Oryctolagus cuniculus: one gene and its partners. The protein of the gene in region 2 purifies or fractionates together with the protein of the main gene of each other region. This does not show direct contact. Links are inferred from orthologs where the notes say so. Each region holds a gene or a part of one and is shown on either strand. Other genes may lie near its edges. The genes, in order: XRCC1, TDP1 and LIG3.

Region 1 (4,000 bases), on a different chromosome or scaffold from region 2:
GATCTCCTGTAGCCCATGCCTTCTCCATGGATGGGATCCCCCAGTATGCCTCCCGTTCCTCCCTGGAGGGCCTGGTGGAAGGAGCCCAGGTCCCTGGCCACTTACCCAGCCCCGGGAGGGTGCAGAGCAACGTGAGGGCCAGCAGGAAGTGCCCCGGTCTTGTGGACGGCCTCATGGTGTGTGAACCTGAGGTCCCGGGTCCCCTGCCCTTATAGGAAGCTGAAGAGGGGCGGATCCGGACCCACCTTCACCCTGGGGTGAGACAGCTGAGGTCAGAACCCAGGGCCGGCCTCTGCAGCCTCCAGGCTGGGGAGGCGGAGCCAAAGACCTGGACATCTTGTCCCCAGCGCCCTCCTCCGCGGGACCCAGGGACTCCAGGCTCGCAGCCCCTTCTCCCGCCAGGACCCAGTGCCCTGCCTTCTCACCTTCGCACCGCCCATAGGGGTCACTTAATTCCCCCGTGAAACTAAAGCGCTGCAAAGACTGGGTCTCCTCTCCTCTCCCCAAGGAGGCGTCCAGCGTGGGTGGGGCCCGACCTGGGGCGCGCCCGTCGTGTCCAGGCTCGTCCTGCGGGGGCCAGGCGCCCTGTCTCCCTTGTCTTCTCTCTTTCACGTGCTTGGCACACACTCCCTCTGTTGTGTTTGGTTTGTGTCCAGCTCTGACCCCGCCCAGGGCTGTGCTCCTGGGTCTCCAGGGGACCGAACAGAGAGGTGCCTGTCAGAGGCGGGCGTGGTAGGAGACAGATGCCCACGGGCCACGTGTTGGAGACATGCGTGCAAGCAGCTGTGCGTACGGTTTGGGCTCAGGCACAAGGCCGAGAGAGAGCTGAGACTGTGTGTGCGCGGCGAGGGCGGCCGCAGGAACCAGTGGAGGCGATGCCATTGCTTTAGGACCCAGGTTCCCTGCAAAAATCCACTCGGGTCCTGGGCCGTCTAAGCTTCAGGTTGGGCGCTGACGGCACCGTCCAATGAAAAGCGCGAAGGTCTTCTAGGCACCAATCCCAGAGGCCGCTCCTGTTGCTAGGCGCTCAGAAAGCCGAGCGGCTACGTCATCAGGAGGCGGAACTAGAGAGTGGTAGGGGCCCGAGAGGGGTGGGGCCCGAGGGAAAGCTCGTTGCTAGGTAACGCGGCGCAACGGTGCAACTGGGCATGCGCGGTGTCGACGCGAGCGCCCGCGCGCCGCGGTTTGAAAGGCCCGAGCTTCGCGCGCGTGCGCACTTCAGCCCGCGCAGGGAGCACCCCTTCACGCCCCCCGAACTCGGACTCGCTTCATCCCTTCGGCCAGGCTAAGCCCGCGCCGTTGACATGCCGGAGATCCGCCTCCGTCATGTCGTGTCCTGTAGCAGCCAGGACTCGGTGAGGGACTGGCGTGGGGCGGGGGAGGGGTCGCAGGGAATGGAGGGGGGAGGGGACGCTGTCAGAACTTTGGAGGGGCGAGAGGAACTTCATGGAAATCTGAAGACGGGACGTGGGGGAGGGGGGTTTTTCCAGGAGGCGGACGGTGAGCTGCGGAGAGGGGTGGGAGTGGGGCACTTGCGCGGAGGAGGGGACTTGGGGGCCTCCTTGGAGAGCCCACTCGTGGAGCTGCGGGTGCGGGAGCCTGGGGGCGCGGTGGGCGTGGGAGGGCTCGCCGCGGCCTCGTGCGGCCCCTGACCCCGCTCTCCGGCTCTCGCCTGCAGACTCACTGCGCGGAAAACCTCCTCAAAGCCGACACTTATCGGAAATGGCGGGCCGCCAAGGCGGGGGAGAAGACCATCTCCGTGGTCCTGCAGGTGACGCCGCCTCCTCCGTGCGGGCCCGCGGTTCTGCTGGGGGCCCCGGGCTGTCCGTCGGGTCCAGCCGCTCGCCCAGCGGGGCCTCAGCTTGCTTGCCTGGAAAATGGGCAGTGCGGTCCCCGGGGGCCCTTGCGGGGGCGGGGAGAGGGCGCCCACGGGAGGGGTGGTTCGACCTGAGGCGCTTGCAAGATTCCCGTGGGGGGCGAAGGGAGGGAGGGCGGCGAGGGCTGCGTGCGCTTTGGGCAGCTGCAGGCCTGTAGGGACGCTTGTCGCCGGGCGCAGGGACCGGGCCAGGCCTCGGGTTGGCAGCTTTGTGGGTGGGCTCAGCGTGCACACACTGGCGCCCTTGATCTTGAATTGCGTCCCTTGGTTCTGAATATAGTATTTGTGGAGGGGTCTCGGGGCCGGGGACAAGGCTCCCGTGAGTCTGTTGGACACGGAACGTGTTCTTGGTCTCTGTCTTGCTCGATCCTTCAGAAGAAGTTTTGGGTCACGAGATCTTGAGAATTAAAAAGCAGCTGAGGGCAGCGGCTCACTAGGCTAATCCTCCGCCTTGCGGCGCCGGCACACCGGGTTCTAATCCCGGTCGGGGCGCCGGATTCTGTCCCCGTTGCCCCTCTTCCAGGCCAGCTCTCTGCTGTGGCCCGGGAGTGCAGTGGAGGATGGCCCAAGTGCTTGGGCCCTGCACCCCATGGGAGACCAGGAGAAGCACCTGGCTCCTGACTTCGGATCAGCGCGGTGCGCCGGCCGCGGCAGCCATTGGAGGGTGAACCCACGGAAAAGGAAGACCTTTCTCTCTGTCTCTCTCTCTCACTGTCCACTCTGCCTGTCAAAAAAAAAAAAAAAAATATATATATATATATATATATATATGGCAGCTGAGGGCACACCTATCGGATTTTCTGACTGATTTTGGAAGTTTAAGCATCCCCTAAGTCCCTCCTCTAAGAAAAGCGATGAGAGCTAGCATCACTCAGGGCTACAACCTGCCAGTCCCTGCTCTGTGCCCATCACGTGGGTTAGCTCGTTGCATAAGAAGTCCCAGGACCTAGGGTCTGTTATTGTCCCCAATTCACAGGTGTGGAAACGGAGGCCCAGGGAAGTCATGCAGCTGGCCCGAGAACTGCGGGAGATCCGGGCTGCTGACGGTGCAGCGTGGGGCCCGGGCTCGGCTCCGCAGCGCTCCCTCTTACGCATGCACGCTGTGGCCTCGGGCAGCAGCCGCCATCCTGGAGCCTGTTTTCTCATGTGTGCGCCCGGATAATGGCATGCGAGCCGAGCATTGTTGTGGCAGTTGGTGACATAACGTCTGCGGACCTGCTCTGTCAACACGTGGCTGTTTGTGTAAGGGGAGGGAGTCCTGTTCTTGTTATTGGGCTGTTCACTTGTTCACATCGGAGACCTTCGGAAAAACCTGGTCACGTCTGGCGTTGGCCAGCCCCTGGGGTGACTCTGAGTTCACCACGGGCTGGCTTTGGTCCTCCCCTAGAGACTGATAAGCCACCACAGGAGACTCCGCTGTGGGTTTTCTGCTCCCCCGTCCTTTTCTCCTCCAAACCGTGTTGTGCAACACCTGGATGTTGCAATCCGGGCCGCCGCCCTCCGCTCGTGACGGTCCCACACACCTTGTTTGTGGCAGCCACAGGAGAGCTGTGTTGCCAACCCCTCACCTGCTCCCAGGCAGGGACTTCCAACCTCTTTGTCAGCCACTCCTGGCCCGGTGGGACTGGCTGGGGCACCGTCCGGAGGCGACTCCTGTGTATCACTGGACATGTGTTCTTTGGAAGAAACATTTGACAGCGAGGTGGCACACGGCTCTTTTTTGATTTTGCTGTTTTATTTTTCTGGGAGGCTGGCGTCGTGGCTACAATGCCAGCATCGCATGTGGGCACTGCTTTGAGTCTTGGTTGCTCCACCTCCCATCCAGCTACCTGCTGTGGCCTGGGAAAGCAGTGGAAGATGGCCCAGGTCCTTGGGCCCCTGCACCCACATGGGAGACCTGGAAGAAGCTCCTGGCTCCTGGCTTCAAATCAGCTCAGCTCCAGCCACTGTGACCAATTGGGGAGTGAACCAGGGAATGGAAGCTCGCTCTCTCTCTTTCTCTCTCTTTCTCTCTTTCTTCCTCCCTTTCTCTCTCTCTGTCTCTCCCCCTCCCTCCCTCCCTCCCTCCCTCTTTCTTGCTGTGCTGGTGTTGTGGCTGCAATGCCAGCATCCCATATAGGCACT
Region 2 (3,522 bases):
TTTTAGGTACTGTAGCATTTCTGTTAGATGATTTGAGTGATTGTAGCATTCACCTTTCTTCTTTCATAGCTTCTGAAAGAACACACCTCGTCCGTCCCCCAGGCCGAGTCCTGGCCCATCGTGGGCCAGTTTTCTAGCATTGGCTCCTTGGGGGCTGATGAGTCAAAGTGGCTCTGCTCGGAGTTTAAAGAGAGTTTGCTGACCCTGGGGCAGGCAAGCAGGACTGCAGGGAAAAGCACCGTTCCTCTGCATTTGGTGAGTTCCCCTCGTCCTCAGGTTAATTCATTTTTATCCCGGGAGAGGAACTGAGACTCAGTGCTGCTTGTCGTAGAGAGAGGTGCTGTGCTGCATTGTGGGGACGGGAAGAGTGGTGTGCCGGCATCACCCCTTGCGTCCAACGGTATCCGTGCTGAGAGCTGGGGGTGTGTGCAGGAACCCCATGCCAGCCACAAACCAGCCTATGATTTACCATTCTTTGGGGTTGTCAAACCAAGGAAAAACCATACTTGGCATAACATGGCCAATAGAGTTACAAGTATTGTTAACTATTTATTTAAAGACCTGGGAATTAATAATTAATTTTGCATTTAATTCAGTGCTAACTTGACCTTTCAGAAGAAGAAAAAATAACCAAAATATAATACATTTGTGCTTCCTGTAGTTTAATTACTACTAGAAGTTCAGTTTCTTCAGTAAGATGGGAACATTTAAAAATCTAAGGCTTATTTTCCAAGTTTCTAAACTAAGTATTTTTTTTATTGTTTATTCAAGAGACAGAAGAGGTCTCATCCATTGACTGAGTCCCCTGTTGCCTGTGATGGTCAGGGCCAGACTCAGGATCCCGGGGTTCATCCAGATCTCCCATGTAGGTGGCAGCAACCCAACTGCTGGAGCTGCCTCCCAGGGTGCTCATTAGCAAGAAGCTGGAATCAGTACCCAGAGCTGGGTATCAGGAAGCTAGAAGCAGTAGCCAGAGCATTCCACAGGGACATACGCATCTTAACTGTGACCTAACCGCTAGGCCAAATGCCCACCCCAGTGATTTTTCCTAAAAGCTGGTCATCATTCCTTCAACATGATACATTCCAATTTTTTTCTCTTTTTATTTTTAGATCTATCCTTCTGTGGAAAATGTGCGGACCAGCTTAGAAGGATATCCTGGTAATTATCAGGGAAGCCCTCATTTGTGCTTTTTGTGTATGTTCCATAGATGCCCTGGCAAAATTTTTAGCAGTATTGATTAGAAATGTACAGAAGGTTCCCTGGTGATAGGAGCTCTGCTGTGTTCCACAGGTGGGCAGTATGGGGTATTGTGTAACCTTCACAGCTGCTCACGCGGTACACCAGTGCTCTTCTCGTTTTCACTAATAAGGTAACCAGCAAGTTGGTGCCCAGACCAGATGTCCAAATAACATTCGTTCTCCCACTATTCAGTATCTTCAGAGCATTTCGAACTTAACCTTCCTCTTACCTCTCCTAGCATCCTCCCTGCCTGTGTCTGAGAAACTAGACAGTTCTTTCACATTTAAATTCCTGATACAGAGATGAAGTGCAAAATTAACTTCACCTTTTTAAGAAAAGATTTATTCATTTATTTGAAAGACAGAGTTAGAAAGACAGATATTTTCTATTCACTGGTTTACTCCCCAAGTGACCACAACAGCCAGGTTGAAGCTAGGAGTCTTAAACTCCATCCAAGTCTCCCTCATGGGTGGCAGGGGTCCACATACTTGGGGCATCGTCCACTGCTTTCCCAGGTACATTAGCAGGGAACTGGACTGGAAGTAAAGCAGCTGGGACTTAAACCTGTGCTCATAGGGGATGCTGGTGTCACAGACAGTGGCTTAACCTGCTGTGCCACAGTGCCAGCCCCTAAATTGACCTTTTAATTCCATTTTTCCATGAACATTTCTCAAGTTCCAGAATTTATGCATGGTATTTCCTTTGGTATAATCTGTTCATATGTCCATTATGTCAAGGTCATCATCTGCAGATGCCTAGGATTATTTTGCCAGACAACTGTGAGACCTCATCTCCATTTCCTTTGTGCCATTACTAGGCACTAAACTTCTATCTGGAATTCAGCAACACCCTGGATAGTGCAATCAGGATGTATTAACTAAAAGCCCAAATGGTGTGTGCCTTTGGAGAGAGCAGTGTTGGGCTGACGTTCACTGGTGTCTAAAAGCAGAATGCCCTGAATTAGACTATCACATTCACTTACTGCTTATCGAACTCAGTGTGCCCTGCCAGAAACATATCAGTAGTGTTTGGAATATAGGGCCCATTTGTTGCTTTTAATGGCAAATATGAAATTATCTCACTGAGACTCTGGGACGTGGTGATAGTTTTTCTTTTGTCTTCATTCTTTACCTCTAATAGCTGGATCCATTCTAAGTGTGCTTTTAATGGAAAGAATTTTGTGTTTTTCAATAAAGCTATTTTATGACTAGTTCTAAAGCTGAGAATGTTTATAGTCATTTGTGGTAGGAGATAGGACACCTGATTGGATACACTGGAGTTGCTGACGGCCCCCTCTGGGTGTAGCTCACTGTGGAGAGGTTCCAGAGCGTGTCTGGGAAATCACTGATGCATCTGCAGTGGGAGTTCTCTTCCTCTCAGAGAGGAACAGAAATTGGCTTCTAAGTACGTTTCCACTGGAACTGTCTTGATTCCCTTTGTACAAATGAGGCCTTTAAAATTCCTTTTTAAAAAACTGAGCTACTTACTCAACATTTTAACTCAGTTTCCACTCCTCGCATTCTATAAGAATCTGTTCAGCTAGTACAAAGTCTGTTTGGAAGCAGCAGTGTGTGCAGGTAAAGTCGACAGAACTGAGGTAGCACCCTGCACGGCCCAACAGGGTTGTGGTCCTAGGCAAAGAGAGGCTCCCCACTCACGTCTGTGATCTGCCTCGGGGGTATTGTGGGCCACAGTCCTACCAGTGCTCTTCCAGCAGCTCCAGTCTTTGCTGCTACAGCTGTTAAGTTACCACCATCACGTGATTTAGAAATACCCTTGTATTTTTTTGATAGTAAACATCTATTTAAATATTTATCACTCCTGAGAAAGGAAACCCCTTTAACAGTACATACCAAATGCAAATATAGACATTTTCATTCAAAGAACTATTCCATAAGATAAAATAATGGCAGTGGTGTTTTGTTTACCTTCCAACATGATGTTTATTACAGATTTTCTTCTTAGGGAGTTTTAAGTTATATTTCCTAATTTTTATCATTTTTTTTGTTTTTCTTTTAAAAGCTGGGGGCTCTCTTCCCTATAGCATCCAGACAGCTGAAAAACAGAATTGGCTGCATTCCTATTTTCAGTAAGTAATTGGTTTAGAATACTGCTGTTGCTTCTTTAGGAATATGAATGTTATTTATGTCGGTCTGGTGGTTTTTTTCATTTTTTTAAAAGAACCTTATGTAATATAGCTATATTCTTTCATCTACATATGCTAGTGGTAGAAATAATTTAAAACAAGGTTTTAAAATGTTCTTGGAATAGGTTTTTAAT
Region 3 (4,152 bases), on a different chromosome or scaffold from region 2:
GTTAGTAAGGAAATATGGTTAAAAGGAACAGAACTAGTCTTTGTAATTCTTTCTTACAATTTTATTACTTATAACTATTCTTATGACCCTTCTGAGAGTTTCAATTTATTTCCAAATAAACAGTTAAATAAAGAAAAAGTCTAGGCCGGCGCCACGGCTTACTAGGCTAATCCTCCGCCTAGCGGCGCCGGCACACCGGGTTCTAGTCCCGGTCGGGGCGCCGGATTCTGTCCTGGTTGCCCCTCTTCCAGGCTAGCCCTCTGCTGTGGCCAGGGAGTGCAGTGGAGGATGGTCCAGGTGCTTGGGCCCTGCACCCCATGGGAGACCAGGAAAAGCACCTGGCTCCTGGCTCCTGCCATCGGATCAGCGTGGTGCGCCGGCCGCAGCGCGCTGGCCGCGGCGGCCATTGGAGGGTGAACCAACGGCAAAAGGAAGACCTTTCTCTCTGTCTCTCTCTCTCACTGTCCACTCTGCCTGTCAAAAAAAAAAAAAAAAAAAAAAAAAAAGTCTCGATTCTGAGGCTGGCATTGTGGAATAATGGGTTAAGCTGCCGCCTGCATCCCATATGGGTGCCAATTAGAATCCCAGCTGCTCCACTTCCAATTAGCTCCCTGCTAACATGCCTGGAAAGCAGAGTAAGATAGCCCAAATGCTTGGGCCCCTGCCATTCACATGGGAATCTTTTTTTTAAAAAAAGATTCATTTATTTATTTGTAAGGCAGTGTTACAGAGAGGCAGAGGCAGAGAGAGGTCTTATATTCGCTGGTTTACTCCCCAAATGGCCACAATGGCCAAAGCTGGGCCGATCCAAAGCCAGGAGCCAGGATCCTCTTGCAGGTTTCCCACATGGGTACAAGGGCCCAAGGACTTGGGCTATCCTCCACTGCTTTCCCAGGCCATAGCAGAGAGCTGGTTTGGAAATAGAGCAGCCAGGACTCAAACCTGTGCCAATATGGATGCTGGCACCACAGGCGGTGGCTTTACCTGCTATGCCACAGCACTGGTCCCAGATAAATCTTTAAAAAGAAAAGAAAAAGGTGGGGGGCAGAGAAAGAGGGAGCAAGAGAGATTGTCCACCCACTGGTCCTCTCCCCAAATGGCCAAACAGCCAGGGCAGGGCCAGGCTGAAGTCAGGCGCTTCATCCAGGTCTCTCTACATGGGTGCAGGGTCCTAAGGACTTGGGCCATCTTCTACTGCTTTCCCAGGCACATTAGCAGGGAGCTGAATTGGAAGCAGAGGAGCCAGGACTTAAGCCAGCACTTACAGAGGATGCCAGCCCTGCAGGCCACGGCTTCACCTGCTATGCTATGCCATAGCGCCGGCCCCAAATAAATCAATCTTAAAAAAAAAAAAAAAAAAAGTCTGGACTCTAGGCTTCTCACCCCTTTTCCTCTTTGCCCCAGTAAGCCCAGAAAGCAGTGTTCTCCATCCCACCTGTAATGTGCTGGGTTATCTGCTCCTTCTCATTATCTTCCAGCTCTTCCCAGCCTTCCAGCTCTGTGAGGTCCTCGATTTTTTTCGTGGTGGCCCGGGCCCGCTCCAGCTTCTCAAACATGCATTTAATGTGGTACCACTCTTTCATATCACCTCCGGACTCTGAAAAGGGATTGGGCACCACTTTGCCAATTCGGCAAACGCCCTTTACAATCTTTTCCTTGCATTTTTTGCAGCCAGCTGTGCCACGCTTGGCGTAGTCCACGCAGAACCGTTGCTCAGCCATCTCACAGGGGCCACTGCAGAGTCCCACATGCGACCCTGGCAGGAAAACAAGGCAGGTGGCACGTGCTCTTAGACGACCTTCGCCAAATGATGGAACAGGCTTTCCTCTCGGGAGGAGGCAGCGACCACGGAGCACATCTGTTTCCGACCACCGGCTAAACAGTTTGAGGTCAGGCCAGCGATGCTGTTCTCGGAACAGGCACAGTTCTTTTCGGCCAAGGGCTCGGAGACTTTCTGGGAAGAGGATCTTGAAAGCCACAGTCATGCAGCTGCATGAAAAGGTGAGACACACACACACACGGATATAAATGGGCACCAATGGGGGATGAGGCTTCCAACGTGTCAAAGGCCAGAGTCTTACACAGGCCATGCTGACTAACCACTTTCCCAAGTATTAAAGATTCACCACCTACAGAATAAAGAGTTCTAATTCAGGACAATCCAGTTTCCTAAAGGGTGTTCAATGACCTAACGTATATACGCACATCTAGTAAACCACGAGGAGGAGAATCCAAGCACCATAAAAGCTTTTCTCAAGCCATCAGCAAAATGCGACAATCCTAATGGATGATGACCTTTAAGTATTGTAAGATCCTCAAGGTGTTCTAATTACCAAGGAAAACACACTATATTCATAGGATTTTTAATGCCACGTATAACAGACGTGCCATCCTCAGAAAACAACAAAGCCACTACAGAGACCCTTGCTTTAATCAGAAGCTCTATTTTGAGAGGCAGGAAGCTGAGCCGAGAAGCGGCCTGCCTGGGTCCAGATTCTAGCTCAGCCACTCATTAGCTGTGCGCCCTCGGTGGGTTACTCAAACTTTCAGTTCCTCAGTTTTCGTATCTGTAAACCACGGCCAGTAACTGTCCTAACTGAAGGAGCTCCCGTGCTGAGAGCCCTCGGATCCGCGCTGGGCGCGATGTCCGCTCTTCTCAGAACCAGGACAGCGGCTGCCCGGCACGGCAGGGGCCCCCTACCCGCCACCTCCGCCGGGGAAGCCTGAAGGGACTGCGTAGCAGGAATCCCGGGGACCGACAGATCAGCCCGAATGCGGACGGCCGCTGCACCTGCACCTTCCAGCGGTCGGATTCCCCGCAGCGCCGCGGCAGGGCTATGCCACGACACCGGAAGCGGTCTCCCTGGAGCGCGGCGCTGGGCTTTCTCCGCCGGCTACTCCGCACCTCCTGAGGGGAGCGCCCGCTGTCGCCTCAGCAGTCTCTTACCTCCCCTGACTCTGGGCTTTATTACTTCTCAAACAGGGAAGGGAACTCCTAGCTTCCGGGGAGGCTGGGAGAGTCACAAAGACCGGCTGCTGCAGGCGCCGGTTCCGAAACCCCTGCCCATCTGCGCAAACTCTGAGTTGTGCTGGAGTCGAGGTCCCTCCGTTTCATGACTACCTACATGCCCGCGAGCACCCCAAAGTTTAAGCAGCGCAGAGGGTGAAGTTGCGCAGACCCGCGAGAGGAGCGCAGCAGCAGCTGGGTCTCCACCATGTCGGCGCACAGAGCCACCTGCAGCCCCCGAATCACGGCTCGGGCGAGGCGCGCTCCGGCGGCGCCAGGCCACGAGGAGGCACAATGCAGCCAAGAGAGACAACAGCCCCGCTCCCGCTCCCAACGGCCGGCCGCAACCGACGAGCCGCCGCGGCGCTTTGGGGAAGTGGGCAGGGGCTGCGGGGAGCCAGGCCCCGCGGGCAGGGAGCAGGGCCCCGCGGGGTGGCGGCGGAGAGCGCTCCTCCCGAGGGCCGGGAGCGGCAGAGGCGGCCGAACTCCCGCGCCCACGTCAGCGCCGGGAGCTTGCACAAGCGGCCCAGGTCTCAGGAGGTCCCAGGGCTGAAGGGCAGGCGTGGAAGGAGGGGCCCTCGCCTCTAGCCCGTAGTGGGGGGGGGGGGGGTCCCGGGGGCCGCGAGCCTCCCGTGGGCTCCCGGGGGGCCGCCACGTCACGGAGGGTGTGCCCCCGGGCTCCGCCGGCGGGCGGGGGAGGAGCCGGGGGCTGGCTCCCGGGCCGCGCCGAGCTCGGGCCCCGGCCCGCTTTCCACACCGCGCTGCGCCGATCCTCACCTGCCTCCCCGGCTCCGGCGCTCACCGCAGGCCTCGGGACTGGGAGCGTACAGGCCGCGAGCAGCTCACGACGGTTGGAGTGCCTGTCTCTTTAAATCCGGGTCCTCAAGCTGGAGGCAGCGCGCAGGCGCAAAAGCCCGGGCCAGAGAGCGACGCAACCGGGCCCCGCCCCCGCGTGCCACGTGCGTGGTGGCCGGGTTCCGCCGGCTGTGGTATGGGGGCTGGTGAGGAGCCCCACCGGGTTACACCGCTGGGGTCCCCGATTCCCCCCTGGAGCCAGGGCTCCTGTGGGCCTTAAAGATGCTGGTTGGGGAGTGAGCACGTGGGAGAGCTGCGGGCCGGCAGAGACCGCGTCCCGTAGGCCGTTT

The links.
Region 1: the proteins of TDP1 (region 2) and XRCC1 purify together in Homo sapiens (affinity purification with mass spectrometry; 4 studies listed by BioGRID and IntAct, with this or other methods). This does not show direct contact. The link is inferred for Oryctolagus cuniculus from reciprocal best matches to the Homo sapiens genes TDP1 and XRCC1.
Region 3: the proteins of TDP1 (region 2) and LIG3 purify together in Homo sapiens (affinity purification with mass spectrometry; 4 studies listed by BioGRID and IntAct, with this or other methods). This does not show direct contact. The link is inferred for Oryctolagus cuniculus from reciprocal best matches to the Homo sapiens genes TDP1 and LIG3.

Annotation. Positions count from the first base shown.
Region 1 is NC_091449.1:12,328,889-12,332,888, forward strand, and holds the start of XRCC1 (DNA repair protein XRCC1), read left to right. Parts: upstream 1-1,193; 5' UTR 1,194-1,304; coding exon 1,305-1,355; intron 1,356-1,678; coding exon 1,679-1,771; intron 1,772-4,000. Other genes in the region: PINLYP (phospholipase A2 inhibitor and Ly6/PLAUR domain-containing protein), read right to left, coding at 106-175. UniProt on the Homo sapiens protein: Scaffold protein involved in DNA single-strand break repair by mediating the assembly of DNA break repair protein complexes. Negatively regulates ADP-ribosyltransferase activity of PARP1 during base-excision repair in order to prevent excessive PARP1 activity.
Region 2 is NC_091451.1:35,658,873-35,662,394, forward strand, and holds part of TDP1 (tyrosyl-DNA phosphodiesterase 1), read left to right. Parts: intron 1-69; coding exon 70-255; intron 256-1,112; coding exon 1,113-1,161; intron 1,162-3,264; coding exon 3,265-3,331; intron 3,332-3,522. UniProt on the Homo sapiens protein: DNA repair enzyme that can remove a variety of covalent adducts from DNA through hydrolysis of a 3'-phosphodiester bond, giving rise to DNA with a free 3' phosphate.
Region 3 is NC_091448.1:39,302,270-39,306,421, forward strand, and holds the start of LIG3 (DNA ligase 3), read right to left. Parts: upstream 2,818-4,152; 5' UTR 2,091-2,817; coding exon 1,436-2,090; intron 1-1,435. Other genes in the region: CCT6B (T-complex protein 1 subunit zeta-2), read left to right, coding at 3,302-3,537. UniProt on the Homo sapiens protein: Isoform 3 functions as a heterodimer with DNA-repair protein XRCC1 in the nucleus and can correct defective DNA strand-break repair and sister chromatid exchange following treatment with ionizing radiation and alkylating agents.